Elephas maximus indicus: one gene and its partners. The protein of the gene in region 1 binds, or shares a complex with, the protein of each later gene. Links are inferred from orthologs where the notes say so. Each region holds a gene or a part of one and is shown on either strand. Other genes may lie near its edges.

The links.
Region 2: POLR2E (region 1) and GTF2F2 share a complex: the UniProt entries of both Homo sapiens proteins name them as parts of the TBP-based Pol II pre-initiation complex. The link is inferred for Elephas maximus indicus from reciprocal best matches to the Homo sapiens genes POLR2E and GTF2F2.
Region 3: POLR2E (region 1) and ERCC2 share a complex: the UniProt entries of both Homo sapiens proteins name them as parts of the TBP-based Pol II pre-initiation complex. The link is inferred for Elephas maximus indicus from reciprocal best matches to the Homo sapiens genes POLR2E and ERCC2.
Region 4: POLR2E (region 1) and DNAAF10 share a complex: the UniProt entries of both Homo sapiens proteins name them as parts of the PAQosome complex. The link is inferred for Elephas maximus indicus from reciprocal best matches to the Homo sapiens genes POLR2E and DNAAF10.

Annotation. Positions count from the first base shown.
Region 1 is NC_064821.1:806,768-814,730, forward strand, and holds the start of POLR2E (DNA-directed RNA polymerases I, II, and III subunit RPABC1), read right to left. Parts: upstream 3,003-7,963; 5' UTR 2,882-3,002; coding exon 2,825-2,881; intron 1,002-2,824; coding exon 827-1,001; intron 1-826. UniProt on the Homo sapiens protein: DNA-dependent RNA polymerase catalyzes the transcription of DNA into RNA using the four ribonucleoside triphosphates as substrates.
Region 2 is NC_064832.1:35,134,190-35,141,851, reverse strand, and holds the start of GTF2F2 (general transcription factor IIF subunit 2), read left to right. Parts: upstream 1-4,659; 5' UTR 4,660-4,862; coding exon 4,863-4,928; intron 4,929-7,662. UniProt on the Homo sapiens protein: TFIIF is a general transcription initiation factor that binds to RNA polymerase II and helps to recruit it to the initiation complex in collaboration with TFIIB.
Region 3 is NC_064829.1:104,341,728-104,349,623, reverse strand, and holds the start of ERCC2 (general transcription and DNA repair factor IIH helicase subunit XPD), read right to left. Parts: upstream 3,009-7,896; 5' UTR 2,930-3,008; coding exon 2,925-2,929; intron 2,779-2,924; exon of another isoform or gene 2,717-2,778; intron 2,627-2,716; coding exon 2,527-2,626; intron 1,013-2,526; coding exon 935-1,012; intron 858-934; coding exon 795-857; intron 1-794. UniProt on the Homo sapiens protein: ATP-dependent 5'-3' DNA helicase. Component of the general transcription and DNA repair factor IIH (TFIIH) core complex, not absolutely essential for minimal transcription in vitro.
Region 4 is NC_064835.1:68,212,730-68,220,715, reverse strand, and holds the start of DNAAF10 (dynein axonemal assembly factor 10), read right to left. Parts: upstream 3,005-7,986; 5' UTR 2,915-3,004; coding exon 2,732-2,914; intron 1-2,731. Other genes in the region: RNA-binding protein PNO1, read left to right, coding at 3,406-3,606, 3,823-3,972. UniProt on the Homo sapiens protein: Key assembly factor specifically required for the stability of axonemal dynein heavy chains in cytoplasm.

The DNA of each region.
Region 1 (7,963 bases):
TCGGTGACTAGAAACAGGGCCTGGGGAAGGTGTGGGGTGAATTCTTGTCCTTCCTGGCTCATCGCAGAGGCTTCTGGGACCAAAGGCGCCTTCGATGCTCTGGAAGGCAGAGCTCCTTCTCTCTCTGGCACCAGGTGGCTGTCCAGGGCAGAGCCAGGGTGCCTCCCAAAGGTCAGACTCAATGTCTCTGACACTGGCCTCCACTGCTCGGCTAGACTGAGGGCAGAAGCCTGAGACCCACAGTGCTGCTGAGGGTCCCCGTATACTGTCACCCCAGAACTAGGATGCAGACAGCTGGTGTGGTGGGCACACAGGAGGAGGGGAGCTGAGTTCTGCTGGGAAAGGGGGGGGCACTCAGAGGTGCAGGAAGAGCGGAAGCAGGGAGCTGAGCTCATGTGGAGGGAGCCTGGCTGCTAGGCCAGGAGGCTGGAACGCCATCCCAGGAGGTGGGCAGCAGGACAGGAAAGAGCCGTCAGGAGGGAACAGACAGGAGGGAGCAAGGGCCTAGGCGGGATGCCTCTGGGAGAGTCCTGCTGGGAGGACACAACAAGGACACAGTCAAGGGAGACAGAAGCGACTGATCAGAGGGAAACTGGAGCAGGTGGTGGGTACGTGAAGAGACTGTCAGAGGGGTCAGAGGTCAACAGCACAGCGTGGAGAGGCAGGGAGCTCTCTCCCCAGTCCGGGTTGGAGGGCCACACACAGGCAGATGCTAGAAGCTGCACCTAAGTAGGTGCTCCAACAACCCCACCAGAAACGTGGTCCTTTGGGGATCCCTCAGGAACCTCAGGGATGGGAAGCTGTGTACACCCACCAGGGCCCTCACCTGGGAAGAAGACGAACATCTGGTCAGTGGGGTCATCATTGTGGGCCACCAGCACGGTGAGGTCCGTGCGCCGTGGCCGCCCTTCACTCGGTTTGTCTCCAAACTGGGCTTTGAACTCCTCTAGTGTCTGGTCCAGCTCGTCCTGCGTCACCAGGTAACCACGGTCGTGACACAACTGCAGAGAGAAGGGCCCAGGACCTCAGGGTGAGGAGAGCCACAGCATGCCTGAGTGCACACACCCTGGTGTCAGGCATGGTCGCAGCGATTCAAATGCTGGCTGTGGAGGACACAGGGTGGGCACACCTCAGCCACCAGCCTTAGGCCAGTCAGGGAGACAGGACAGAGAAGTCATAGCGAAGTGGATGAACACGGTCACCCTCTAATCCCATGGCCACCCCATGGGCTGGGACCAGTGTGAGCCCCTGTGGGGAGACAGGCTGATTTCATGCCTGCTTCCTGGGCTGCTTAAGCAGAGGCCATGGGCCCAGAGCATTCCCTGATACGGAGACTGTAACTGGGTCTCTCTCTCCCTCCCTCCCAGTTTCTCTTCCTCATCAGGGGAGCCTCCCTCCCAGTTCTGGGCACACTCTAACTTTCTCTGTTGCTGTTCATGCAAACAAACAAACAAAAAACCAAACCCATTGCTGTCAAGTTGATTCTGACACATAGTGACCCTCTAGGACAGAGTAGAACTGCCTCATAGAGTTTCCAAGGAGTGCCTGGTTGATTTGAACTGCCAAGGTAGCATTTAACCACTACGCACGCCACCAGAATTTCCTTATAGCACCTGGCCAACCCAACTGTTCTTGGAGAACAGGAAACGGGGTCTCTCAGTTGCAGCACAAGAGGAGTGCGTGTCGGACATGTGCTCTGTACTGGCTATGAGGGGACTCACTGGCCATGGGAGACTGGAGACCACAACTGAAGCTGACTCTGCTGTCTCATCTGTGTGAGTAAAGCGTGGTTCCAGTGCCTGTCTGTGATTTGCGCCTTGTTGGCAACCTCCAACTGTGGCCCAGGAGGCAAGGATCTAGACCAAGACCACCTGGCCCCTGGGAGTCCTGCCAGGCCTACACCTGAGCAGATGAGCCCAGCCTCTCAACCCCTTTGCAAAGCCACCCTGAAGACGGAGGCCAGAATAGCTGCGACTTCAGGCTGAGACCCTAGTGTGGGCAGGCACTCAGGAGAGAGAATGAAGCTGCCGGGGAACTTCACAGAGGGACCGGGGAGGAGATCAGGACTAGCTCACAGCCCTGACCTTCCCTTTCTCCATCTAGGTCCTTTTCTAGAACCATCTGCTCAAATAGCCCTGATTTCTGGGGTGAGATCCACAATTACTGGCCTTCAGGGACGGTCTGCCCAGGACGTCCCCTCCCAGCTCTGTCTTCATCTGCTCCGGACCTCACGGCACCGGCTCTGGACTCAACACCCCCGAGCTCAAACCCCAGCTCTGCCGCCGCTTCCCAATCACAACCCGCCCTGACCCTCAGGTTCAGGATAAAGCAACAAAAAGTGCAGCTCGTGACTGGGGCGGAGCAGGGGCCCTCCAAGAATGCCCCCGTTCTTTGTCGCCACTTGTCACCTCCTTCTCTAGCCCTTCACACTCCCCAACCCCAACTCCCGCCCACACCCGACCCCCCCCCCGGGACCTCTCAGCTTCTCCCCTCGGCCGCTGGTCTGTGGGGTCCCTCAGTCCTCTGGAAGACCCCAACCTCGGCGTACTGTGACCCTCGCCCTGCCCGCCCCAAAGCAGGTGTCCCGCCGCTGAGCTCAGGGCACATAAGGCAGCGCCCCTGGGGCAGACCCAGCAACGAGGGTCTGGGGTGGCCTTGGGGACCCCCCGATCCAGCCACAGGGGATGAGGGAGGGGGAGACGCCACGCTCCTTCCCACCTCCAGGAACCACCAGACCGTTGCGCGCTCGGCTCACCTGGCGCAGGTAGGCCCGCCGTGACCCCATTCTCTAAACAGGGGCATCCCCCCGCCCCGCGCTCCTCACCTGCATGATGGTCTTGCGGATCTTCCACAGCCGGTACGTCTCCTCCTCGTCGTCCATGGCTGCTTCGCTTCTCGGAGTCGACGCGCTGCGCCTGCGCCAGTCAGGACCCGCGCGCACTGCGCCTGCGCTAAGCCACCCCTAGTCCACTCCGTGCAGGGCTGGCCTCAGCGAACGCCTGAAAGCACCGACCTCTGGAACCGGCAGGTCCGAGGGCAGCCCGAACCTTCCGAAAGCGGTGTTTGGCTGCTCCCTAACAGAGACTTGCAAATATCACCGCCCACCACCGCCTGCAGTTCTCGCGATGCTTGAGCCGCAAGGCCTCTCGGGAGTTGTAGTTTCCGCTCAACGCCCAGCTGTCGGGCGGCTGTTTAGAATCTCGCGAGGGAGAGGCCGGGTACAGATAGGGAAACGGAGGCCCGGACGGGCTCGGGGGCCTGCCAGGCTCTCGGGCACAGTCGGGTAGTCTAGAAAGTGCTCCACAAATATGTGTGCGTCCAAGTGTCTGGGGTCCTCTCCGCATGGTGGCTCCAGGGCTCCGCCCGAGACTCAGTTTCCACGTCTTTATAATGGAAATAATAAATGCCCCTGTTTTAGAGGGTTAAGTGAGGATCTAAAAAGATGGTCGTGTTTGGGAAGAGCCTGGCAAAGCCTCCCACCTCCGCTTCAACCTGGCCCTCTCCCCTGGCTCTCGGTCCGGCCTCCGCCTGGGTGCCCCATGGCCCCCAGACCTAGTGGGTCTTGACAGACCTCCACATCAAGCCCCCGAGCTCATCAAGGAGGCTCGCCCAGCCCCGCGCCTGCCACACTGAAGGTGATCAGTAACTTATTCAGCGATTCATTCCATTCAGTCGCTAAACAGCACCGAAACCTGTTGGTGTAGAATTGGGTCCGGCTAGGTGGCCCCATGTGAGGCAGACAACCTCAGAGCCCAACCCATCTAAGAGACAAACACCTGCTCTGGCTTATCGTCCTACAGCGAGCAGAATAAGCTGCAAATTCTGAAACTGTCCTTGACAAGATAACCACAGAACGGGCCATAGATGGCTTCAATCCGCCTCTGGGGGGAGACTTAACATCCTAGTAGAAGAAAATCAACCTCTTCCTCCATTCCGGAGAATGGAACCCTGTCTAGAGAAAATGCATAGTCATCCCCAAACTCTGAACGCCTGTGTGAAGGTCAATCCTGAATATTCATAATAAATTTGCATTTCCTTGTCTGCTTTGTATAAAAGCCCACCTCCCCAAGCTGCCTGGGAGCAGTCTTGGAGGCAGCAGCCCCCATGGCTCCTATCCTTGAGCAATGAAATAAAGGCATCTTTCTCATCTCCCACCTTGGCCTCTTGTTTATTGGCTGCAGCAAGTCACACCAAGCAGAACCTGGGGTCTCCACCTGGCAGCACACATGTTACAGAGGAGAACTGTTCAACAGGGCTTTCTTGGCCTTTACCAAAGGAGCCCCGGCGGCTCAGTAGTTAAGCACCCAGCTGCTAACAGAAAGGTCATTCGGAACTCACCAGCAGCTGTGCAGGAAAAAGATGTGGCAGTCTGCTTCCGTAAAGATCACGGCCTTGGAAATCCTATTAAAAAAATACTGCTGTCGTGTCCAACCACAGGGTTTCCAAGGAGTGGCAGATGGATTCAAACTAGCAACTTTCTGATTAGCAGCCAAACTCTTTAAGCACTGCACCACCAGGTCTCCGTATGGAGCAGTTCTACTCTGTCCTATAGCGTCGCTATGAGTCGGAATCGACTCAGCAGCAATGGTTTGGTTCAGCTTTTACTGAAGCAGGTGGCCAGGCCTTTCTTCTGCAGTATCACTGAGTGGGTGCAAACTGCCAACCTTTAGATTAGGAGCCAAGTGCAGACTGCACCACCCAGGGACCCAAGAAACACAGAGATAGTGAATAAAACAGACCAGGAGTCCCTGATGTTCCAGGGGACACAGGATCACAAGCACTGAACATAACATGTGAATGATAAAATATGTCTGAAGCTGATACTGCTATGAAAAAAGCAGACCAGGGTAAAGGAGATGGCGGATGAGAAAGCTTGCAGCATTGAAGGCAGAGGTCAGGGAAGGCAGGGAGGAGAGATTTAAGCAAAAACTCGAAGGAGAAGAGGGAGGGAGCCACGCAGGTGTCTGGGGGAGGGTGTACCGGGCAGAGGTTAAAAGCCCGTGCAAAGCCCCTGAGGCAGGACTGGCCTCGTGTGTTGGCATCCAGGAGGTGAGTGTGGCTGGCTCGGAGTGTGCACCGGGGAGCAGGGGAGTTCAGAGTCGAGGTTCTCATCCTGGGCGTTTCTGCCCCCAGGGGACACTTGGCAACCTCAGGGAACATTTGTTGTCGCAACTGAATGGGGTGCTACTGGTACCAAGTGGGTGGAGGCCAGGGATGTTGCTCAACACGCTGCAGTGCCCAGGACGGCCCCCACCCCAGGGAAGGCAGCAATGCTGAGGGGGAGGACCCTGTGGCCTGAGCAGGGTCACTGGGTGTGAGAATGGAACAGAAGGAGGGGTCAGGGATGAGAGTCACGGGAGCCTCTGGGACTGCGACTTGACTGTGTGCTCTCAGGCCCGTGGCTTCACCTCCCTGTGCCTCAGCACCCCTCCTCGGCCCATGGTACAGTACCCACTTCATCGGGTAACTGTTGTTGTTAGGCGCTGTCAGTAGATTCTGACTCATAGCCACCACGTGAGGTTTTCTAGGCTTTTTTTTTTTTGTACTTTAGGTAAAAGTTTACAGAGCAAATAGGCTTCTCATTAAACAATAAATACACATTGTCTTGTGACATTGGTTGCCAACCCCTCAATGTGTCAACACTGCCCCCTTCTCCACCCCAGGTTCCCCGTTTCCATTTGTCTACTTTTCCTGTCCCTTCCTGCCTTCGCTTTTGGGCTTGTGCGGACCCTTTAGTCTTGTATACATTATTAAACTACAAAGCACGGTCCTCGCGTGTGTTATTATTGTTTATTTTATAGACCTGTCTACTCTTTGGCTGAAGGGTGAATTTCGGGAGTGGCTTCAGTACTGAGTTACAAGGGTGTCCGGGGGGCTGTACTCTAGAGGTTAGGCTGTAATCTTTACGGAAGTAGATCATCAGGTCTTTCTCCAGTGAGTCCCTGGGTGGGTTCGAACCGCTGATCTTTCAGTTATCGGCCGAGCGCTTAACGCTTGCACCAACAGGGCTGCTTTCATTGGGCGGTAATGGCCGATAATTGCAGACTGCTTAGACCTGCATCACCTGAGTTAGCAACCCAAAACCGAATCCACAACCGTCAAGTCGAATCTATAGAACAGAGTAGAACTGTCCCATAAGGTTTCCAAGGACTAGTTGGTGGATTCGAACTGCCAACCTTTTGGTTAGCAGCTGAGCTCTTAACCACTGTGCCACCAGGGCTCCTGAGTTACCTAAGTGCTCATTAAATAAAATAAAGGAGACAAGCAAACAAGGGAGGAGGTTGCCAGGTGCCCTGGAGCCAGGGGAAGGTGGTGTCTCCAGGAGGAGGGAGAGACCTTCATATGTCCCTGGCCCCAAAATGTGTGTCAATTTGGATAGGCCAGGATTCTCAGTGTTGTGTGGTTGTCCACGGTTTTGTGATCTGATGTGATTATCCTATGTGTTGTAAATCCTAAAGTCTGTGATGTTAATGAGGCAGGATTAGAGGCTGTTATGTTAATGAGGCAGGACCCAATCTACAAGGTAAGGTCGTATTCTGAGTCAATCTCTTTTGAGATATAAAAGAGGGAAGAGCAGAGCCACAGAGAGATCTCACACCACCAAGCAAGGAGAGCCCCTGGGGGCTGCTGCGCTGAGAAGCTCCCAGGCCAAGGGAAGACTGATCTCAAAGACCTTTCTCCAGAGCCGACAGAAAGAGAAAGACTTCCCCTGGAGTTGACACCCTGAATTCAGACTTCTAGCCTCCTAGACTGTCAGAGAATAAATTTCTCTTTGTTAAAGCCATTCACTTGTGGTATTTCTGTTATAGCAGCAATAGATGACTAAGACAGCTGTTGAGCTGCCAAGCCCTTGGAGGCCTGAGATGGAGCAAGTGGGGCTTGGCTGAGTGGCCCTGTGACCCTGACCAAAGCAGACCCTGGGGCTGGCTGGATAGGACTCTGCCAGGACAGGAAGGGGAAACACGGCTACAAAGGGGGACAGCAGGGAGTGATGCTGCAGCAGGAGGAGTGAAGATGGGGGAAATAGAGTTTTATGTGCTGGGGTGATGACCCAGTTAAAAAAAAAAAAAGAAGCTTCTGTGGAGTTGCCCCTGAGTCATGGTGACCCCATGTGTGTCAGAGAACAACTGTGCTCCACAGGTTTTCAGTGGTTGATTTTTCAGATGTCTTTCTTCCAAGGCACCTCTGGGTAGACTCGAACCCCCAAACTTTCTGTTAGTGGCTGAGTGCATTAACTGCACCACCCAGGGACTCCACTCTGGAGGGAGAAATCCACAGGGAGGGGTGAGGACTGCTGGAGCCCTGGGTGAGCCAGAGGGCTTGGGTGCAAGTGAGGGGTGGTCTTAGCTGGGAGCTGGGTGACATGGATGGTGCGGGGGTTGAATTGTATCCCCCCAAAAGATATGTCAAATTGTAACCACCCCCAGTACCTGCGACCGTGACCTTGTTTGGACACAGGGTCTTTGTAGATATGATCAAGTTCAGATGAGGCCATACTTGAGTATGGTGGAGCCTAACCCAGTGACTGGTGTCCTTATGAGAAAAGACACAGACAGACAGACTCAGAGGGAAGATGGCCCCGCGGAAGTCAAGGAATGCCAAGGGTTGCCGGCAATTGCCAGAAGCTGGAAGAGACGAGGAAGGCTCCTCCGCTAGAGCTTTCAGAGGGAGCTTAGCCCTGGATTTTGGACTTCTGGTCTCCAGAGCTGTGTGAGAATCAAGCGCTGTTGTTTTAAGTCGCCTGGTTGGCGGTACTTTGTCATGGCAGCCCCAGTAAGGCAGAACCCCCACAGTGCTTGTCACGGATTGAATTATGTCCCCCAGAAATGTGTGTATCAACTTGGTTAGGCCATGATTCCCAGTACTCTGTGGTTGTCCTCCATTTTGTGATTTTAATTTTATGTTAAAGAGGTTTAGGGTGGGATCGGAACACCCTTACCAGGTCACATCCCTGAGCCAATCT
Region 2 (7,662 bases), on another chromosome or scaffold:
TTGTTATAAGGATTGTTGTTGTTGTTAGGTGCCATCGAGTCGGTTCCGACTCATATCGACCCTATGCACAACAGAACGAAACACTGCCTGGTCCTGAGCCATCCTTACAATCGTTATGCTTGAGCTCATTATTGCAGCCACTGTGTCAATCCACCTCGTTGAGGGTCTTCCACTTTTCCGCTGACCCTGTACTCTACCAAGCATGATGTCCTTCTCCAGGGACTGATCCCTCCTGACAACATGTCCAAAGTATGTAAGATGCAGTCTCGCCATCCTTGCCTCTATGGAGCATTCTGGCTGTACTTCTTCTAAGATAGATTTGTTTGTCCTTTTGGCAGTTTTTTTAGTATATTCAATATTCTTCACCACCACCACAATTGAAAGGCGTCAATTCTTCTTCAGTCTTATTCATTGTCCAGCTTTCATATGTATATGATGCGATTGAAAATACCATGGATTGGGTCAGGCACACCCTAGTCTTCAAGGTGACGTCTTTACTCTTCGACACTTTAAAAAAAAGAGGTCCTTTGCAGCAGATTTACCCAATGCAATGTGTCTTTTGATTTCTTGACTGCTGCTTCCATGGCTGTTGATTGTGGATCCAAGTAAAAGGAAATCCTTGTTATAAGGATTAGATGGGATAATATACATAAGATGCATAGCTGAGTGTCTATACAGGCCCTTATGAAGGTGAGGAATCTGGCTGCAATATCTGTCACCTTGTGGGTCTCCCAGTAAATTCGATGGATATTGTTAGGCTGTGTTCTCCTTTTCTCTCCCAGTTCCACAGACATCCATCCCCAAGCTGGAAGATGTTTGGAAAGGACAGGTAGGGAAAAAATTGTTCTTTGCTCAACAGTGTATGAGGACAGGTGCTCAGTAAATTGTTGGGTTTTTCCTCTTTCCCAATTTTATCATTTTTAAATCTTCATGTTTTCCTTTTTTCTCTACCCATTTCTTTGCCATTCTTTCTCCCACAACCCCTGTGTAGCATGCATGCACGCACATAAATTTTAAGGCTTCTTATAACTCATTGATCAAGGCCAAGGCACTAATTCTTTACTCTAAAGTCCACTACTGGAGTCCCCAGGTGTTGCAAATGGTAAATGTGCTTGACTGGTGTCTTAATCATCTAGTGCTGCTATAAGAGGAATACCACCAGTGGATGGCTTTAACAAACAGAATTTTATTCTCTCACAGTCTAGTAGGCTAGAAGTTCAAATTCAGGGCATCAGCTCCAGGGGAAGGCCCTCTCTCTCTCCTTCCGCTCTGGGAGAAGGTCCCTGTTATCAATCTTCTCCGGGTCTAGGAGCTTCTCTGTGCAGGAACCTCAGGTTCAAAGGACCCACTCTACCCCTGGCACTGCTTTCTGGATGGTATGAGGTCCCACTCTCTCTCCCCTCGCTTCTCTCTTTTATCTCTTGTAAGACAAAAGGTGATTCAGGCCACACCCCCAGGAAACTCTGTTTACATTTGATCAGGGATGTGACCTGACTAAAGGTGTTACATCCCACCCTAATCCTCTTTAACATAACCCAATCTTCCCTCATTAACCACAGGCAGAGATTGGGGTTTACAACACTGGCAAATTATATCAATCAGGAAATGGAGGACAACCACACAATATTGGGAATCATGGCCTAACCAAGTTGACACATATTTTTGGGGGACATAATTCAATCCATAACAACTGGTAACCAAAAAGTTGGAGGTTCAAGTCCAGAGGTGCCTTGTAAGAAAGGCCTGGTGATCTACTTCTGGAAAATCAGCCATTGAAAACCCTGTTGAGCACAGTTCTACCCTGACACATGTGGGATCACCATGAGTTGGAGTCAACTCAATAGCAACTGGCAAAGTCCTTTATTAGGGTGCTCCAGGCTACTTTACTACCCTTCTTTCATGGTCTCCTATTTCGATTTATTCCTTCTACTTCATCAAAGCTTAAAGGAGCTTTCTTCATCTGCTTGAACTCTATATGTTTTTGGGCCCTTTCCCAAGTTGTGATTCGAGAATACAGCCTTCCCTTTTAACACACTGCCTGGTTCCTGTCTTTCCTATTAGTTTTTCTAAAGTGATCTCAGAGACCTGATGGCTCTTCCTGGTCCTATGCTGCAGTGATGGGATTTCTTCGATTTTGTGCGTGGGTCTGATGTGTGATTTAATATATTACTTGCCATTCATACAATATCTTACTTCAGTGACTATTCACTCAACCAAAGCCTTTTGAAATGTGACAATGTGTCAAACACCGTGCTAGACATTATAGATATGAATAAATATTTCTGCCTGGGAGGAGCTCATAGCCTAGAAAGCAGAGGCAGGCATGTAAACATGTATATTTTAGTGCAGTGTGTTATGGGTAGGAGCCCTGGTGGCTAGTGGTTAAGTGCTGGTTCAAACTCTGAGGCCGTTCTGTGGGAGAAAGATATGGCAGTATACTTCCGTAAAGATTGCAAACCAAAGGGGGGGAGGGAACTCATTGCTGTGGAATCCGTTCCAACTCATAGTGGCCTTGTAGGACAGAGTACAACTGCCGCATAGGGTTCCCAAGGCTGTAAACCTTTACAAAAGTGCACTGCCACATCTTTCTCACACAGCACCACCAGCGCTCCCCCTTAAAGGTTAGGAAACCATATGGGGCAGTTCGACTCTGTCCTGTAGGGTCACCATGAATCAGAATTGACCCAATGGGCAACATGATTTTTTGGTTTTGTCTTAAGTGCCAGTGAAGTAAGTTAAGTGTCTTTCTTGTGGTGAAAAACAGGTGAAATTGTGCTGTACAGATCAGAAAATAAGCACAAATAAGCCCGTGTGTAACTTGCTTATCGGATAATCCGCCCCTGAGTGTCACACACTGTGATGTGAAGGGAAATGAACTTCCTCTGGGGCGTCGGCAAAAGGTCTCGTAGGAACTGATGTTTCCATTAGTCTTGAAAGATAAATAGAAGTTTATTCGAGGACGGGCTTATGGGAAGACTAGGGGATCCGAGGATAGGAAATCAAGTGTGAAGAGGCTCTGAAATAATTTAGGAAGAGCCTCACGAATTCAGGGAGGTCTGATAGGCTCAGTGTGGTTGTGAAGCCGTCACTGAGGCTTCCCGATCCGCTGCAGTTCCTACCCCCACTTGCAGCCCACCAAGCCTCCTGTCCTAACCGCTGTTTGGCCCCAGTGCGCTGAGGGCACTACCTGAGGCTTGAATTTGGCACCAACACCCCGCGCATGCGCAAACCAAGATCTCGGTGCCCACGCAGGCTCTGAAGAGCCGAGGCCTGGAACTTGACCCCTGATCTGAACTTTGCCAGAGCGGATGTTCTCCAGTACACAGCTGCACCGCAGCCCACTTGTAAAGTGAAAGTTCCCTTCCTTTACAAATAATTCAGCACCTGGATCTCCAAAAATGGACATGGGAGGATGGGGTGTCGGATTTGGGGCACCAATCCCACCCCCTAGGGACTGAAGGGCATAAAAGCTCTAAGCTCCCTTGGGGCTGGTAGCGCGTGGTCTTTTGGCTGCTAGGCCCCGCGTTCCTTGTCTGCACAAACAATAAATTTCCACTTTCTGTTTCCCTTACAACTGGCGGTGTGGCGTCTGTCATATTTCCATCTGCTAACAGGACGGGACAAGAACCCTCACTGGGTTACAGTGGGAAGTGTGGTAGAGTCAGGAGCAGGAGTGCAAAGGAATCAAACGGAGAGGACTCATGAAGCAAGGGGATTGAATTTTATTCTAGGGCCAAGTAGAGAAAAGAAATTTGTTTAAGCAGGGGAGTTCAACAATCAGGTTTGTCTCTTACGTGTTTGTATTGTCACTGACCTAATTAAGTCCAGATTTTGGAATCTAAAGACTGTGCTTACTCAATTATAGGTCCCCAGGGACAGCCTCTGAGTTGAGACACCGCTTTCTTTTCAGGTCTAGAAATGGCATGTTTTCAGATTACCTGGGGCAAATTAATCCAATCCCCATGCCCATTTGTGCTAGTTCACTTCCCGGGAAACTGATATTTGAAGAACTCCAATTTTTACTCTAGTTCTGTCCTTCAAAATGTTGTCTCTCTCTCCTTGGCCAGGGTTGGGCATATACTGACAGCTTCTGTCTCTTTAAATCCCATTGGTTATTCTGTTTTGATGCCCTCTTTCCTCAGTTAGGGAAACATTGGTGGTGTAGTAGTTAAGAACTATGTCTCTAACCAAAAAGTTGGCAGTTCAAAACCACGAGGCGCTCCTTGGAAACTCTACGGGGTAGTTCTACTCTATCCTATAGGGTCCTCATGAGTTGTAATAAACTCAATGGCAATGGGTTTTGTTTTGTTCCTTAGTTATAGGAGCCCTGGTGGTGCAGTGGTTAAAGCGATTGGCTACTAACCAAAAGATCAGGGTTGGAACCCAGTACCCCTGTAAGCTTACAGCCTTGGAAGCCCTATGGGGCCGATCTACTTTGTCCTACAGGGTCATTTTGAACTGAAATTGGCTGGAAGATAATAGGTTGCGATTTGAGTTTCTTTAGTTACGTTGACCTAGTCTTTAAAGGTACTGATGACGTTTTGGCCCGTCCCACCGTACGTTTTAATCAATCAGATAGGGCTTCTCCGGTAGCCACACCCACCCAAGCGCGGGCCGACTGGAAAGTTTGTCCCCAGCAACGCGCCGTACTGACGGTGGCAGTGCGCAGGCGCAGTTCCCGGCCCCCAGCGGCGTGTTCCTTTTTCCTCAGGTTTCCAGCTTCCTGGTAGCTGAGAAACCCTAGCTCCTCAGAGGCCACCTTCCTCCGCGGCTCGCCGGTTGCCCCGGACACTCCTCCGGCAGAAGTCCCCCAGCTGTCGCGGCCGCTGCCCCGGCTGCACGCCTCCACCGGCGACAGACTCATGGCTGAGCGCGGCGAACTCGATCTGACCGGCGCCAAACAGAACACGGGAGTGTGGCTGGTCAAGGTAATGTTCGCGGGACTCCCGCCTGTGCGCCCCCTGATAGAAATAGTTTAAGTGACTTACGATCGTCCCGCTCCGTACGGCTTTTAAAGTTCTTTTATGGCCATCTCATTAGAGCTTCACATACTTGGGGAAGTGTGGTCGTTGTTTTGCCCGTTTGCAGATGAGAAAATTAGTTTAGGGAAGCTGAGTGTCTTTCAGCCAATTGAGAGTCCAAGTATGCCTGGAATGGATCTGTTCCCCACGACCTGGCTTGCCCTGGTGCCCCGTCTGGTGTCCCCGATTTGAGCGGTGCATTTTATCCCACATCGAAGAATTCCTGAATCTTGTTGAAACGGATTTTAGTCTTGAGAGCACGCGGAAGAATCTACTTTCTCGGCCAGAAAGTAGAACGGAAGGTTGCTTACCCTTAAAATTGTTCTTTTAGGATGATGACCTTTAATAGGGCTCTCAGAAGAGTTCTGAACTAATGGGAGAAGAGGTCACTCGACCTTTCTTTTAGAGCACGATTGGGTCTCTTGAGACTGACCGTCAATAAATGTTTTATGTAAAGACTAGTATTGCGTCCTTTTCGTTTGCAGTCTGGGTTAGCCGTTAGCACAGTGTTTGTATTGACTTTTTTTATACTGAGAAGTGTTGTTTTTTGGGGGAGTTTCATAAGACATATGCATGTTCAAACTGTGATCATGACAGTCTTTGAACCTCGCATAAAATGTAGAGATCTTTGGTTTGTTAATGCTTTAGTTTACTGTCTTATCACACGGCCAAGTCCTCATCAGTTAAATATCAGAGAGGTTCTTCCTGTCCACCCCTCTAAAATAGCTCCTTTATGGTGATTTGGTAGCACGTCAAACTTTTGTTATATTCTTCAAAGTGTTTGTCAGAGTCTAAAGTGATTCCGTATTCATGCGTTCAGTGATGGTTACTCCCTGCCCCTCAACACCCACATACACACAATCACATTCCATTAGAACAGGACCCACAATAGTGTTTGGCACATTGGTAATTGCTCAGCAGATATTTGATGAATGAATGCATGATTTCATCCTTCAACCTTATCCTTAGTCTGTGGCACTCATTCGACTTATCTCACAGCCACATCAGCATGACTTAAAACGATCAAGTAAATGGGTGTCTCACTCCCAACTGGAAGAGATTGATTAAGGAGATAATCTGCTTTGTAGGCTAAAGAAAAGAGCTTGAAAAAGTGGTGAGAATGGAGATTATGGTTTTATGCTTGGAGCGCAGTAGATGCACAATAAATGTTGTTTGCCTTACAGGATTTGAATGGGTGGATCGAGCTATAGCATAGTATTCCATAGACCAAAAAATCTGTTGCCAGTGAGTTGATTCTGACTCATAGCGATCCTATAGGAGTGGAACAGAAATACAAGACTGGAAATGCATGTTAACATGATGCGTTCTGGAAAACAAAGAGGAGACTATTATGCCTAGAGCAGAGAGTTTGTGTAAAAAAAGCTTGGGACCATATACCCAAATTGTCATATCGTGAAACGGAGATGTTTTAGCTTTAAGTCAGTTGTTGTTGAGTGGATTCTCTCTTGATTTTAGTCTATAGAAAATGGAGGGTTTTGAGTAAGGCAGGGATGCATAAGATTCTTTTAAAAAGAAAATAAACTTGGCAGTATGCAGTATGCATTAGAGGGTAAGGGTGACCAGAGTCAGAATTCAGAAAGTTACCGCAGTAGCATAGGTATGTATGAGATGATGAAGTCTGAAGAGTTAGGAAAATGTTTTCAGTAAAAAATTGTCAGGATTTGCTGACTATCTTAGGGTACTTTAGAGAAACAGAACCAGACATATACATGTGTAGAGATAGAGAGAGATTGATTTATTTCAAGGAATTGGCTCACGTGATTGTGGGGGCTGCAAGATCAGTTGGTTAGGCAACTGGCTGTAGACTCCTGCACTCCCCAAATCTGCGTGTAGGTCAGGCGTTAAGAAGAGTGAAGAGTAGGAGTGTTCATATCTATTACGGTATGGAAGAGGAGTAGAACTCATCCTAGGGAAGCTTCCCTTTGCTTTTAAGGTCTTTACCTGATTGATTGAGGCCTGCCCACATTATAGAAGGTAATCTGCTTTACTTGAGGCCACCATATGTAATTTATAACAGCAACTAGTCTAGTGTTTTAGCAAACAGCTGGGCACCATAGCCTAGCCAAGTTGACCCATAAAGTTAACCATCAGTCTGACTAAATGAGAATGTGAAAGAACGTAATGAATCTGAAATTGAAGAAGTTAAAAGAATTTTGGTATTCTCCCCATATATGCACATTTGAATACATTTTATCTCTTTTAAAAAAAAAAAATCTTAAGCCGATGATTTGTTCTTGTTATTTCTTGCTTGCAAAATCATTGCTTCCTAGCATCAACTTGGTATGCAGTATTTCTTTTTTTATGTGTCAAGGAAATGAATGGACTTGTAAATACGTCTTTCCTGGGTATGAAAGGAATATGCTGGATATTTTCTCTTTCTTGCCAGTTCTTGTCCTCTGACAACCTTATTTCTGAAAGAGGAAGAGAATTGCTAGCAAATATTTTCTGTTGTAAAATCTGTCTATATCCCGCCTTTATTTGACAACTTTTATTTCTGTTCTAGTAAAAGGCGTCCCAATAGGCAATGGGGTTTGATTTGCACACCTAGCAGATAATATGAACTTGTTTCATTTGCACTGGGGTAAGTATTGAGGGTGATTTTCATGCCCATATCTAGAGA
Region 3 (7,896 bases), on another chromosome or scaffold:
GGCGGTCCGTGGTATGGCCGACATTCTTCGCCAACACCATAATTCAAACGCATCAATTCTTCTTTGGTCTTCTTTATTCATTGCCCAGTTTTCGCATGCATATGAGGCAACTGAAAATACCATGGCTTGGGTCAGGTGCACTTTACTCCTTAAAGTGCCATCTTTGCCTTTTAACGCGTTAAAAATATATGTAATGTAATTAAGGTCAGCATCAGTTGCTGTCCAGCTGATTCTGACTCATGGCACCCCCATGTGTATCCGAGTGCAACTCTGCTCCACAAGGTTTTCAATGGCTGATTTTTCAGATGCAGGTCACCAGGCCTTTCTTCTGAGGCGCCTCTGGGCGGACTTGAACCTCTAACCTTTTGGTTAGCAGCCAAGCGTGTTAATCATTTGCACAACCCAGGGATTCCTAATTTAATGAAATGAACTTCCATAATCTTATCTAATCTAATGTAATTAATCAATCAATTGAGGTCATATCAGTGCAAGATAGAGCCTAAACCTAATCACCCCTGAGTTATAAAAAGACCAGAATAGACACAGCAACTCACACACACACAGGGGAAGATAGATGACGTGTGAGAATCACCTACAAGTAAAGGAACATCAAGAATCGCTAGCATACACCAGAACTGTAAGAGACCTTCGCAGAAGGAATCGACATGGCCAAGACCCTGACCTGGGCTTTTCGCCTCCAGAACTGTGAGAAAATAAATAGCTGTTCTTTAAAGCCGCCCAATTGTGGTATTTCTGTTATGGCAGCACGAGGAAACTAAGACACCCCGGCTCACCTTCTCAATCTCGGGCACAGTCCTCGAGCAGTAGATGAGTTTGGTCACCTCCAGCGGATATGCCTGCCAATGACAAGCAGGCTCAGCCCCCACCCAGCCTCTACCCGATACCCTCTCCATGGGCCCAGTGGGTCACTTACCCGCTGGTACGCCATGATCAGAGCCAACAGAGACACTGTCTTCCCAGTGCCCGAGGGCATCTCCAGGACTCCATGACCCTATGCGTTGGGGGTAGGAGGGACAAGATACAGGCTCTCAGAACCTTGGGGGCACAATCTCTAGGGATGCTGCCCCCCTCCCTCCAAGAAGACTGCCATCAGCACAGTAGTTAATAGTTTGGACCCGGGAGGGGAGAGGGGTTGAATCCTACTTCTGCCACCTCTTTACTGAGTGGTTTCAGGCAAGTGCCTTCACCTCTCTGGACCTCAGTATCCTCATCTCTAAAATGGGTCCATAAAGGTCTTCCTCATATCATGATTGTGAAGATTAACGACAAATTGTAAGCTAATGATTTACCATGGTATCTGATATATAGTGAGCCCATTTTTTCCTGCAGCTTAGCAAACACTTCCACAGCACTTCCTTGGTGCCTGGCACTGCTGTAGATGCCTCATATCCTGCTCTACTGACATCTGGGGCCGGATAATACTTAGCTGTGGGGCAGCTGTCCTTGCACTGTGGAATGTTTGGCAGCGTCCCTGGCTTCTACCCACTAGAAACAATAGCGCCCCACCCCACAACTAGTATGGCGAGGAAGAATATCTCTAGACATTGCCAATTGTTCTCCGGGGGTCAAAATCCACCCCTGCCTTACTGTATTAATCCATTTCACCCTCACGACAACCTATGAGGTAGGCATTATTAAAAGCAGTTGTCCTCAAGTAGACTCTGACTCATGCCGACCCTGTGTGTATCCCGGTAGCACTGTGCTTCACAGGGTTTTCAATGGCTGACTTTTTGGAAGTAGGTCACCAGGCCTTTCTCCCAGGGTGCCTCTGGGTGCACTTGAACCTCCAATTTTTCAGTTAGACAGCTGAGCAAGTCACCTATTTGCACCACCCAGGGACTTCAAGTACTGTACTATTACTATGTCCCTTTTACAGGGGCACCAGAACAGGGAGGTTAATAACTTGCCCAAGGTCACACAGCTGGTAGACTGTGAATCCGGGGTTTCAATCCAGGGAGCCAGCTCCAGTGTCTATGGATCTCTACGCACCGGGATGTCTGGCCTTTAATAAATGTTGCTGCTAAGTGCTATGGAGTTCTGACTCATAGCGACCCTATGTACAACAGAACGAAAACTACCTGATCCTATGCCATTCTCAGAATCGTTGCTATGCTTGACCTAATAAATATTAAAAAAAAAAAAAAACTTTTTTTTTTTTTTTTTTAGCTACTATTATTAACTGGAAGTCCTGGTGGCACAGTGGTTAAGAGCTCGGCTGCTAACCAAAAGGTTGACAGTTATAATCCACCACCAGCTTCTTGAAAACCCCACGGAGCAGTTCTACTCTGTCCTATAGGGTCCCTATGAGTCGAAATCAACGGCAACGGGTATTATTAACTATTATTATTTCAGATGGCAGGTGGCTTTGGAGTCCTAGATTCCCAAGGACCTCAGGTTTCTAAAATCCTGGGGTCTTGGCTATCTAGACGTCCTCCAACCTCAGTCGCAGACCCACGCGTGACGGCCCCACCTGTTAAGCAGGCAGCGGCCGCCCGGCCTACTCACTTTGGCATCCAGAGTGCGTTTGAGCTCCAGCATGTAGGAGAACTGCTCCGGGTAGATGTAGTCGTAGGGGAAATAGACCAGCAGGCCGTCCACGTTGAGCCTATTGGTGGGGGCTGCTGGGTCAGTGTCCTCCCCCTCAGGCCCCCTCCAAGCCCCCGCGCTCTCCGGCCGTCGAGCCAAGGGCAGTTACCTGCCGGTCCCCCCGGGTATCCCGCCAGTTCCCAAGGAGCCTCCGGGTCTCCCCGCTGACCATCCCCGTTACCACCCCGCCGGCCCCGCGGTTACCCCATCCCATCTCTTCAGCCACCCCTCGCCCTGCTGGGGACCCCACACGCTCCCCCCCATCTTTCAGCCCCCTGCGGCCGTTCTCCAGCCGCGGTCCCCGGCCCCACTCTCACTTCATGGCGCCGGCCAAGGCGTGCAGCGGCGTCGATCCGCCTCCCTCATGAATATTCAGCGAGAGACCGGGTCCGTGGGACGTCCGCCCCACCTTCCTCACGATCCCACTGGCTGATCCCGCCCGTGACGCTACTGGGGCGGAGCCAGTGGGAATACTGCGCGCATGCGCAAGGCCTGAGCAGGCGGGCTCCGGAGAGATAGGCGGTGCCCAAGGCGTCGCTGAGGATCACCGAGGACAAAGAACAAAACATGGAAGGAGGAGAGCCGAGAGAATCGATCTCACCCAAAACATTCGTTTTCCAGCATCTGCCAAAGTGTCACAGCAGAGAATAGAGACTAGAAGAAAATAACAGGGAAATTGGAGACTCCTTGGTGGCCCACATGTTAGGAATGGCTTAACTGCATCAGACGAGCATACATTTATAAAGTTCCTGCTGTGTCCTAGACTCCTGTGGAATAAATAACTATCCATTTATTGAGCACCTACTATTTGCCAGATACTGTCGCTATGAGTTGGAATCAACTTGATGGCAGTGGGTTTGGTGGGTTTTTTTGTGGTTTGGTACAAGCCTTTAGAGGACCCCTGGTGATGTAGTGTTTAAACGCTCAGCTGTTAATGGTTGCAACCCACCAGCCACTCCGCAGGAGGAAGATGTGGCAATCTTAAAGATCGCAGCCTTGGAAACCCTATGGGACAGTTCTGCTATGTCCATTAGGGTTACTATGAAGCGGGACTTACTCGATGGCAACGGGTTATGGGGTTATGAATTACCGGGAGACCTCGTTAAAATGCCGATTCGGATTGTTGAGGCGGGAGTGGGCCTGAGATTCCGCATTTCTTATCCACTCCCAGGAGGTGTCAGTGATCTGGTCTTCAGACTACACTGTGAGTTGTGAAGGTCTACACTTTCTCTTAGCACTCCCCAGTGGGACTGAGCCCCAGTTGTCTAAAATACCTTTTCAGAAGCTTTCTTCTGGTCTCACTTTTCCACTCCCTCTAAAAGCAGTCACCTTCCAAATAAACTGTTGTTATTAGCTGCCGTTGAGTTGGCCCCCAACATTGGCAACCCCGTCCACGAAGGAACTAAACGCTGCCTGGTCCTGCATCACCCCCATAATCAGTGGTAGATGAAACTGTTGTGATTCACAAGGTTTTCACTGACTGATTTTTATATCCATAGAATTTATTCTATTTTTGTTGTTGTTGTTGAGAATATACACAGCAGAGCATATACAAATTCAACAATTTCTACAGGTACAATTCAGTGACATTGATAACATTCTCCAAGTTGTGCAGCCATTCTCAAGCTCCTTTTCTGAATTATTTCTCCCCCAGTAACACAAGCTCATTGCCTCCTAAGTTTCTGCATCTAATCTTCCAAGTTGCTGTTGTCAATTTGATCCCATATAGATAGATATTAAAAGTGCACAATGCTCAGAGCAGACATTCTTTACTAGTTAACCTATTGTCTGTCTTGAAGAAGGTGACAGGTTATTTTTGTTTTAAGGTTTAAAGTTTATCTCAAGGCAATAGTTTCAGGGCTTCATCCAGCCTCCATGGATCCAGGAAGTCCGGATTCCATGACAATTTGAAATTCTGTCCTGCATTTCCCCTCTTTTGATCAGAATTCTTCTACAGAATCTTTGATCAAAATGTTCACTAATGATAACTGGGTAGCATTCAGTTCTTCTGGTCTCAGGGCAAAGGAGTCATTGGCTGATATTTGGAAGTAGATTGCCAGGCCTTTCTTCGTAGCCCATCTTAGTCTGGAAGTTCTGCTGAAACCTGCTTAGCATCATAGCACCATACAAGCCTCAGTGACAGCCTCCACTGTGGTGGCTGCACATGAGGTACATTGGCAGGGCATTGAATCGAATCGGGTTTCCTGCATGGAAGGTGAGAATTCTACCACTGCATCACCAATGTCTCATCCCAATAAACTACATGTTCTCAAAAATAGAAAAAGGACTTTGCAGATGTGATGAAGTTCAGAATGTTAAGATGGGGAGATGATCCTGGATTATCCAGGGGGGCCCTCAACATAATCACAAGAGCTCTTCTAAGAGATTCCCCAGCAGGAAAGAGACAGAAGGCAATGTGACCACTGAAGCAAGATGCTACCCAGACGGCTCTGAAGATGGAAGAAGGCATCACAAGCCAAGGAATGTAAGGAATGAAATCCTGGAGGCTAGAAAGGGCAAGGAAACAGATTCTCCCCTAGAGACCCTGGAAGTAGCTCAGCTCTATTGCCATCTTGATCTCGGCCCAGTGAGATTGATTTTGGACTTCTGGCCTCCAGAAAGGTAAGAGGATAAATGTGTGATGTTTTACACCACCAAGTTTATGGTAACCCCTCCTGCTTTAGTTTCTTTCCGTAACAGTGATCACCATCTGATATAACAGCTATTTTGCTTTTTTTTTTTTTTTGTCTATTTCCTTCCCTGACTGGAATGTCAGCTCTACAAAAGCAGGGACTTTTTTTTTTCTTAATTGTAAAAAATACATGTAACACAACATTTGCCAGTTCAATGTTTTATCTGTGTACAGTTTAGTGACGCCAGTTACATTAATTGTGTTGTGCAGCCATCACCAGTATCCATTGTCAAATTTTCCATCACCATCACAGAAACTCAATGCTCCCTAAGCAATGACTCCCTCTTTCCCCCTCTCTCCTGTCCCTCGGAACCACTAATAAACTTTGGTCTCTATAGTTGCCTATTCTAGAGAGCTCATATAAGTGAGATCATACAAATATTTGCCCTTTCATGATTGACTAATTTCACTCAGCATGTTTTCAAGGTTCATCCATGTTGTGGCGTGCATCAGGACTTCATTTCTATTCACGGCTGGGTGGTATTCCACTGTGTGTATGTACCACATTTTGTTTCTCCATTCATGTATTGATGGATATTTTGGTTGTTTCCACCTTTTGGCTATTGTGAAAAGTGCTGCAATGAACATTGATGTACAGGTTTCTGTGTGTTCCTGCCTTTGCTTCTTCTGGAATATAGCTAGGATTGAGATTACCAGGTCATACGGTAGTTCTATGTTCAGTTTTTTAAGGAACTGCCAAAGAATGCGAAGAATGGAAATTCCAGAACACTTAATTGTGCTCATGAGGAACCTTTACACAGATCAAGAGGCAGTTGTTCAGACAGAACAAGGGGATACTGACTGGTCTAAAGTTAGGAAAAGTGTATGTCAGGGTTGTATTCTTTCACCATACCTATTCAATCTGTATGCTGAGCAAATAATACGAGAAGCTGGACCATATGAAGAATGGGGCATCAGGATTGGAGGAAGACTCATTAACAACCTGCGTTATGCAGATGACACAACCTTGCTTGCTGAAAGTGAAGAGTACTTGAAGCACTTACTAATGAAGATCAAAGACCACAGACTTCAGTATGGATTACACCTCAACATAAAGAAAACAAAAAGCCTCCCAACTGGACCAATGAGCAACATCATGATAAGCAGAGAAAAGATTGAAGTTGTCAAGGATTTCGTTTTACTTGGATCCACAATCAACTGCCATGGAAGCAGCAGTTGAGAAATCGAAAGATGCATTGCATTGGGCAAATCTGCTGCAAAGGACCTCTCAAAAGTGTTGAAGAGCAAAGATGTCACCTTGAAGATTAAGGTGCACCTGACCCAAGCCATGGTATTTTCAATCACATCGTATGCGTGTGAAAGCTGGACAATGAATAAGGAAGACCGAAGAAGAATTGATGCCTTTGAATTGTGGTGTTGGTGAGGAATATTGAATATACCATGGACTCCCAAAAGAATGAACAAATCTGTCTTGGAAGAAGTACAACCAGAATGCTCCTTAGAAGCAAGGATGGCGAGACTGCATCTTACACACTTTGGACATGTTGTCAGGAGGGATCAATCCCTGGAGAAGGACATCATGCTTGGCAAAGTACAAGGTCAGTGGAAAAGAGGAAGACCCTCAACGAGGTGGATTGACACAGTGGCTGCAACAATGGACCCAAGCATAATGATTGTAAAGATGGTGCAGGACCGGGCAGTGTTTCGTTCTGTTGTGCATGGGGTCGCTATGGGTTGGAACTGACTCGGCAGCACCTAACAAGAACAACAGCCAAACTGTTTTTCACAGGAGCTGCACCGTTTTACATTCCCATCAGTGATGGAGTTGTCTTAGGCTAGGCTCTCTAGAGAAGCAAAACCAATGCAGCATATAAATATATAGAGAGATTTATATAATGGAAATTGTTCATGTGGCTGTACAGGGTAGAAAGTCTCAAGTTCATGGGTTAAGACGGAGGCTTCTCCTGACTCACGTAGTCACAGGGGGCTGGCAAATCCAAGATCAGAAGATCAGATAGGAGGCCTCTGGCTCACAGGCTGTGGAGGCTGACAAATCCCAAGACTGGCAGGTAAGACAGCAGGTAAACTGCTAGCTCAAGTCCCAAGAACCAAAGGTCAGACAAACAGGAACCAGCTGCATGATCCATAGTTTGCAAAAACCAGTGAGCCTTGCCCGAAAGTCCTCCTATATTGGATACAGGCCACACCCCCAAGAAAAATCCCTTTCAACTGATTGGCTGCGCACAACAGATCTCATCATGGAGGTGATCATATTACGTCAAATCTCATTATGGAGGTGATTACATCATTAAAAAGCTGCCAAGCTACATCATAACTGCCAAACCACTGAGGATCAAGGCCCAGCCAAGTTGACAGACAACTTTAGCCATCACAGGATCTAAGGATTTTGAGATGAGAAGATTATTCTAGGTTAACTGGATGAGCCCAATGTAATCACAAGGATCCTTATTTATAAGGAAAAGAGTGAGGCAAGAGAATCAGAGGAGGAGATGTGACAACGGAAGCAGAGGTTGGAGGGTTGCAGTTGCTGGCTTGGAAGATGAAAGGGAGAAAGGAAGCAATGAATTCAGGCAGCTTCTAGATGCTGGAGAAGGCAAGGGAAGAGATTCTCCCTT
Region 4 (7,986 bases), on another chromosome or scaffold:
TTCCTGTCTACCCTCTTACCAACAAGACAAGGAAGGCATCACAAAGACCCATTTGCTTCCTTCACTTGTTTTTCTCCTGGTTGCGTGGGATTTGGAACACATGACTTAAGATGGCTTCACAATGACTAAATCAGGTACGTTTCCTAATATTTTAATAAATAACTCATCTAGCCCAATGGTTCTCAACCCTGGAATGCATTAGAATCTCCTGGGGGGAGTTTTAAAAATACTGATTTCCAGGCCTTCCCCTAGTCCAGACCCATTGTATTAGATTTTCTAAGGGTGGGGCCAAAGCATGAATATTTTAAAACCAAAAACCAGGGTAATGAAACACATTCAGATGATCCTGATGCACAGTAAGGCTGGAGAACCACGGTGCCTATACTTAACCTATCTTCTTTCCCATTGCACCATCACAGCCAAATACAATCTAAGTTCTTCAATGTGTTTTTGAGCTTGTTTTACTCTGTTTTGACAGGGTAGGCTCCTTAGGGGAAAGGACTCATCTTTCAAATATCTTTGGTCCTTCCTTAGCATAGTACCATGAAATATTAGTTTCTCAGTGGATAGTTTACATAGAACAAAAGTAGAAGACCCCAAAAGGTACAGGTGAAAACATAATAAGTGGATATTCCTGGAGTGAGATCATGGGTGATATTAACATTCTTCTTTCTCCTAGCTACATTTTCTAAATGTTCTATCATGACGATGTATTACTTCTGTTCAAAAAGCAAAACTATTAAAAAAAAAAAAATTAAAATTTGCTAGAATACCCCAGAATCTCTACAGGAGACAAAGAGCAATCTTTCATTTTATGTAATAAGTGTATCCCTGAAAAGTGCACAAATCAAATATTCTTATTAAAAAATCACAAGTCTGTAGATACTCTCTGCTTGAGCTTCTATTGGGCATTTGCTCCTAATACTTCAGCTTTAAATTTCTCTCTACTTTTCCAATATTCCCCGTTTGTTCAAACTCCTGATCCCCAGTCGATTAATGATCAATAGACCAATATTTAAGTTTCCGAACTTAAAGCCTCTTTACAGACATACATTTCCTCATTCTTTCAACAAATATTTATTGAGTAGCTGCTCCTTACCAACACTAAAGAAAGGCACTGTCCTCACTCGAAAAGAGCTTACGATCTGGTCAGACATATACAGGACAGGATATACGTTCCTGGCACAGGCAATAAGTATTACAGGAACACAGTGTAGAGAAAACTTCCACTGTGTGGGGATCAGGAAAGGCTTTGTAAATCAAGATAACCTGAACTGGATCTTAGAATAGCAACAAGTGACTAGTGGCTAAGTGGTAAACAACATTAAAAGAAAACAGGCACTCCTGGAAACTTGAAGTGGGTTGGAGCCTTGCATATTGTCTAATCTAAACTTGCATACTGAAATTGTATTCATCCTTTATTTCCCAGTTTAACCCTCATCTCCTCCAAGCAGATTCTCCCCATAACTTTTGATTCTTGGAGTTTTCAAGCTTTCCTGCACTTGTAGCCTCTTACAATACGAAACACCTGATAATGCCTGATTTTTTTTTTAGGCAACCCAAATGAAGGCATTTTTTAAATTGTGAAGAGCTACAAAATGTTACTGTTATTTTCTAATTCTTTCACTAGTGATCTTTAAAAAACTTGTAAATCTGATCGTGCCACACCCTGCTTAAAGCCCTTCAAGGACATTCCATTTCTCTTTGAATAAAGACATAAGTCCTCTAAATGACCTACATATCATGCAAGGTCTGGTCCGTGCTTATCCCTCTTGTTTCTTAAGTGAAAAACCCTCTCCACCTCTGGGCTTCCATATTTGCTGTGTCTCCTGGAAATCTCATCCTCCACTCCCAATTTGTCTTAGCTTCTGTGTTGTTGTTGGTTGGGTGCTTGCGAGTCAATTCGGACTACAGGACAGAGCAAAACTGCCTCATAGGGTTTCCAAGGCTGTAAATCTTTACGGAAGCAGGCTGCCAGATCTCTCTGAAGGAGAATGAATGGCTGGTGGGTTCCAACCGCTGAACTCTCAGTTAGCAGCCAGGCGCTTAACCACTGCGCCTTCCACTCATCCCAAATCTGTTTTTACTCTCATAGAACCGTGGTCCTTTATTTTAAAGAACTCATCTCGGTTTGTACGTACGCACCGTTGGTTTAATTATTTGACTATCTCCCCTATTAGAAAATAAATTCCGTGAGATTGGGGACCTTGCCATCCACATGCCTGGGAATACCAGGTCCTCAACTGACACTTGGTGAAAGAATGAATAAATGTGATAGGTTGTCTCCTCCAATTACACTGCAGGTTCGGGGGATAGGCGCCGCTTTGGCTCTGCTGGTATGAAAAAGCATTTTATTAACACGGGCATAGTAAGAGACTCTCAGCAAACAACTCTGAACTGCCTAAAAGGGTCTCGAACTTAGACACGAATTCTTAACGTCACCTCCCAAAGATCTCGCGCTGGACTGCGCTGGAGACGGCTGGAGAAAGGGGTCGGCAGGGCGCAGATGAACTAGCCCGCCGAAGAGAACTCAGGGTTCCAACGAAAGCGTTTTAAGTCGGACAGATTCCTTAGTCTGCGCTCAGCTTCGCTAGTCTCACGCAGCTCGAGCTGCGTTGTGGGCGGATGCCAAGCAGACTTCGGGCAAAGAATACAGAGCCCAGGATCGGCAATCGTCCCCCTAAGGACATTCCCAGATCCTGGAATCGGGCAGTCTCGACCCGGCACCCACCTCCCGAAGCAGCTTCAGCTCCCCATGCTGGATCTCATACAGCTGAATGACGCCGGTGCCCCGTGCGAAGTTGCCCACGGTCACAAATTTGGCGCTGCATGGCACCCATTTACAGTCAAACACAGTGTAGTTGAGGCTCTTCTGGATATGGGCGATGATCTGAGGCTTCTCAAAGGCCGACATGGCCCAAGAAATGCCACCTCCAGCAACCGCCAGCCCCGAACCCCGCGCAAACACTAACCTGGAAACCAGACCCCAAACATTAGCGACAGTTTGTCTCTCCCGCTTGCCGTACCCGGGCCTCGCTAGTTGGATTTAGTTATCTAAGATAATGCCAGATACACTACAGAGAGCGCGCAAATTTTCCTTTAGGGACAACACAAATATGTTTATCACTTTTATGACTGACTCTTTTACATATACAGTTTTGAGATTACAAAATGCTTTATCTGTGACTTGCGCAGCCAGAGGGAGGTCATAAGAATCAGGCATATTGTAAGATGGCCCCCACCGACATTAAAAAAGCCTGGCTGAGGACCCCGCGTGGGACCTCTTGGGAAGGGGGCGGAGCCCTGGGGCAGGTGGTGCTCGCAGGGTGGTCGGGGTGCGCCTGCGACGTGCGGCTGCGCACGTGGTGGAGGCGGAAGCGCCTGCCGGGCCGGAGATCCCTGGGGATGGAAGGCGGGATGGAGGCACAGAGCGCCGGGGCCGAGGACGGTTTCACCCAGGTCACCCGCAGGGGTGGCCGGCGGGCGAAGAAGCGGCAGGCTCAGCAGCTGTCGGGGGGGAGCGGAGACGCGGTCCGCATGGACACGGAGGAGGCCCGGCCGGCGAAGAGGCCCGTCTTTCCGCCCCTCTCCGGGGATGGGCTCCTGGTACTGGCCGGGATCCTGGACAGGAGTGGGGCAGGGGCCAGAGACGGGTTAAACCTCTGGGTGATAGTGAAGCTGCGGTGCTCTTCTGGAGAAGTGACTCTCCGGAGGCTTAACTCGTTCAGTTTAAAGGAAGATTTTTTGTGGATCAGCTGTCATTTTACAACTCCATCCCCACCCTTCCAGACATCTCCTAAGTTGTGTTCTTTTCTGTTGTAGGGTGGGAAAGAAGAAACAAGGAAAATTCCAGTCCCAGCTAACAGGTACACACCATTGAAAGAGAACTGGATGAAGATATTTACTCCTGTTGTAGAACATTTGGGACTTCAGATACGCTTTAACTTGAAATCCAGGAATGTAGAAATCAGGGTAAGGAGCGAGCCAACTATTTCCACATATACTAGGATTTCTCCTACAGGGATCGAGGACTGAATAGACTTTGCTGAATGGGACTTGTTAAGTGGTTTCTTCCAGTTTTCTAATATATATCGAGTTTGAACTTCTTAAATGCCTTTAAAATCTTGATTCAATACAAATACTAATTGAATTCTAAATGAGGATACTGGCTGTGTCTGTGCATATCTTTTATAATGTATCGCATTGAACTGCGAAGACCGAAGAAAGGCATTGTCCTAAGGCAGAAGTATGTGAGTGACATACATAGGCATATGCAGGGTTTTAGTTACTGGCTGCAGCAGTACAGGCACCATGCATCTTAATAGTATTGCAAAAAAAAAAAATATGTGTATACGTAATAGCTATATACTTTAAAGTATAAAAATAAATGTGAAAATCAGTTATGTACGTGTGTATACCAAACCAAAACGAAACCCATCGCCATCGAGCCAATTCCAACTCATAGGGACCCTATAGACCAGGGTACAGCTGCCCCATAGGGTTTCCAAGGACTGGCTGGTGGGTTTGAACTGCTGACCTTTTGGTTAGCAGCCAAACACTTAACCACTGCACCACCAGAGCTCATGTATATATAAAACCCACTGCCATCGAGTCGATTCCGAGTCATAGCAACCCTGTAGGACAGAGTAGAACTGCCCCATAGAGTTTCCAAGGAGCGCCTGGTACATTTGAACTGCCGACCTCTTGATTAGCAGCCGTAGCACTTAACCACTGTGCCACCAGGGTTTCCTATGTGTGTGTGTATATATACACGTATACATACATGCATATACATATACGTATACGCACATGTATGTTAAGAAGTAGGCTGCCAACCAAAAGATCGGCAGTTCGGATCCACCAGCTGCTCCTTGGAAACCTATGGGGCAGTCCTACTCTGTCCTGTAGGGTCCCTGTGAGTTGAAATCGACTCGACAGCAAGAGATTTGGTTTTGGTTTATATGTATATATGTAAATATATGTATGTATATGTGTATGTATGTATGTAGCTGTGTGCCGTCAAATCCATTTCCACCTGTAGCAACCCTGTGTGACAGAGTAGAAGTGACCTATAGGGTTTCCTAGGCTGTAATCTTAATGGGAGCAGATCCCCAGGTCTTTCTCCTACAGAGTGGCTGGTGGATGTCAGTCACTGAGCAGGGCTCCTTTAATCCAGTAGTTAGACATTTTAAATCAATTAATTTTGAGCTTTTTTCTGGTGGCAATTTTACATGATAATCTATGGCCAAAGTTAATTGTAATATCCTCCTTGAGAATTCTTATACCATCATTATGACAGGTGTAGACTTGTCTCTGATGCACTGTGTATGATAAGGGGACAAAGCAGAGATGCCCTGCTCTAAATAGTTGGTAAAGTTCATAATATTGAACTTGACAGTAGAATCCTTGTTTGTTCCTGTTGCCACTCTAATTCAGGTTTTGATGGTTTCATGTCAAGACATGTCATGTTTCACTATAGGTTTCCTTTGTTTTGCTACTTTAAGTCTCTCCTTCCTCATATACATTCTCTGTGCCAACTTTCTCTGACCATGTTGCTTTTATTATGACTTCCTGACTTAAGCTTTTAACTAAACCTGCTTTTTAGTTAATGGGTCCCAACTCTGGTCCCAAGTTGGTTTCTCATCATCTCTTTGAACATTTCTATTCCGTACTTCTGGGTAGCCTTTCCCTCTGAAGAAGGCCTTCTCCTCCCTACTCTCTCCCTCTTCCTACTTCAGTTCCTGTCATGTTCCTGGGTCTCCCTGAAGTTCTTCCTCCGTTGTAATTGGTTGGTTTGTCAGTCATTTCTTCAACGCCTGACTTTTGTTATGCTTAGCTGTCTTAGGAATTGCTGCAGCATAGATTTAGATCTCATTAACATTTGTTGAAGAGGGCAGTGGTAGTTCAGTAGTAGATTTCTTGTCATCCATGGGAAACCTGGGTTCAATTCCTGGCCAATGCACTTTAGGTGCAGCCACAACCTGTGTGTTATTGGAGGCTTGTGTGTTGCTGTGGTGCTGCACAGGTTTCAGCAGAGCTTCCAGACATCAGCCAGTGAAAACCCTGTGGGTCACAGTGGTCCCATCCCATTGTGCATGGGGTCATCATGAGTCAGGGGCCAAATCTTTGACAGCAAACAGCAGCATTGTTGACACTTGTATACCAGACCCATAGTGGTACTTGGACGTGCACTTCATCATTTGGTCTTTAACACGGCCCTGTGAAGTAGATGATATCCTTCCATCTTACAGATATGAGGAAACCAGTGATCAAAGAACTTGTGTGTCTTGGCCAAAGTCGTAAAGCTAATAATTGAATCTTGATGCTATTAGGGATTCCTCAGGATCTTCCACTCTAACCTCCTTATTTTACAGCTGAGAAAACTTAAGACCTAGAGTATCTATGTGACTTACCCAAGGACACATAGGAGTGGAACTAGGGTTTAGTTTTTGGGGGCTTTTTTTTTTTTTTTAATGGTTTTATTGTGGTACAATACATGTAATGGAGACATGGCAATTTTAATTATTTTTAAACGTGCAATGCAGAGAATCGTGAGATTATATCACCGGGTTGTATAACCATCACCACTACCTGTTCCCAACAGGTTTTCATCATCCCAAGTAGGAACTCAGTAGGCCTTAAGCAAACGCTCCCTTTTCCCCACCCCCAGCTCATGGTTACCTCTAATACTTTGGTCTCTACACACTTGCCTGTTCAGGATATTTCATAGAAGTGGGATCATATATTTGTCTTTTTGAGGAGCCCAGGTGCTGTAGTGGTTAAGTGCTATGTCTGCTAACCAAAGGGTCAGCAGTTTAAATCCACCAGGCACTCCTTGGAAACTTTATGGGGCAATTCTTCTCTGTCCTGTCGGGCCACTCTGAGTCAAAATCGACTTGATGGCAAAGGGTTTTGGTGGCGCAGTGGTTAAGAGCTTGGCTGCTAACCAAAAGGTTGGCGGTTGGAATCCACCAGCTGCTCCTTGGAAACACCATGGGCAGTTCTCCTCTGTCCTATAGTGTCCATATGAGTCAGAATCAACTCGATGGCAACTAGAAATGAGTGGCTGACTTAATTCATTCGGCATAATATTTTCAAGGTTCATCCGTGTCAGAGCATGTATCAGAATTTCATTTCTCTTTATGGCTGAATAATATTCCGTTATTTTTATGCATCACGTTTTGTTTATGCATTTCTCTGTTGATGGACGAATTGAACTATTCCACCTTTTTGCTATTGGGCATGATGCCGCAGTGGACTTTGGTGTACAAATATATTTGAGTCCCTGCTTTCAAGTCTTTAGGGTATTTAACCTAGGTGTGGAATTGGTAGGTCATATGGTAATTCTATGTTGAACTTCTTAAGGAACCACCAAATTGTTTGCCAAAGCAGCTGCGCCATTTTACATTCTCAGCGGCAGTAGATGAGGATTCCAGTTTCTCCACATACTTGCCTACACTTGTTATTTTCCTTTTTTTTTTTTTTGATAATAGCCATCCTCTTGGGTGTGATCACCACTCTTCTGTCAGTTTTCGTACTGTGGTAGCTTACATGGTGCTGTGATACTGAAAGCTCTGCTACTGGTATTTCAAATACTACCACAGTCACCCATGGTGGAAAGGTTTCAGCAGAGCTTCCAGACTAAGAAAGTCTAGGAAGAAGGACGTGGTGATTTCCTTCTAAAAACTGGCCAGCGAAAACCTTATGAATAGCAGCAGAACATTGTCTGATATAGTGCCAGAAGATTGGCCCCTCATTTTGGGAGACACTCAGAATACAACTGGGGAAGATCTTTCTCAGAGTAGGGTCAACTTTAATGACATGGATAGAGTCAAGCTTTCAGGACTTTTATTTGCATGACTCAAAATGAGAAGAAACAGTTGTAAGCATCCGTTAATAACCAGAATGTGGGATGTACGAAGTATGAATCTAGGAAAATTGGAATTTATCAAAAATGAAATAGCATGTATAAACATCGATAGCCTA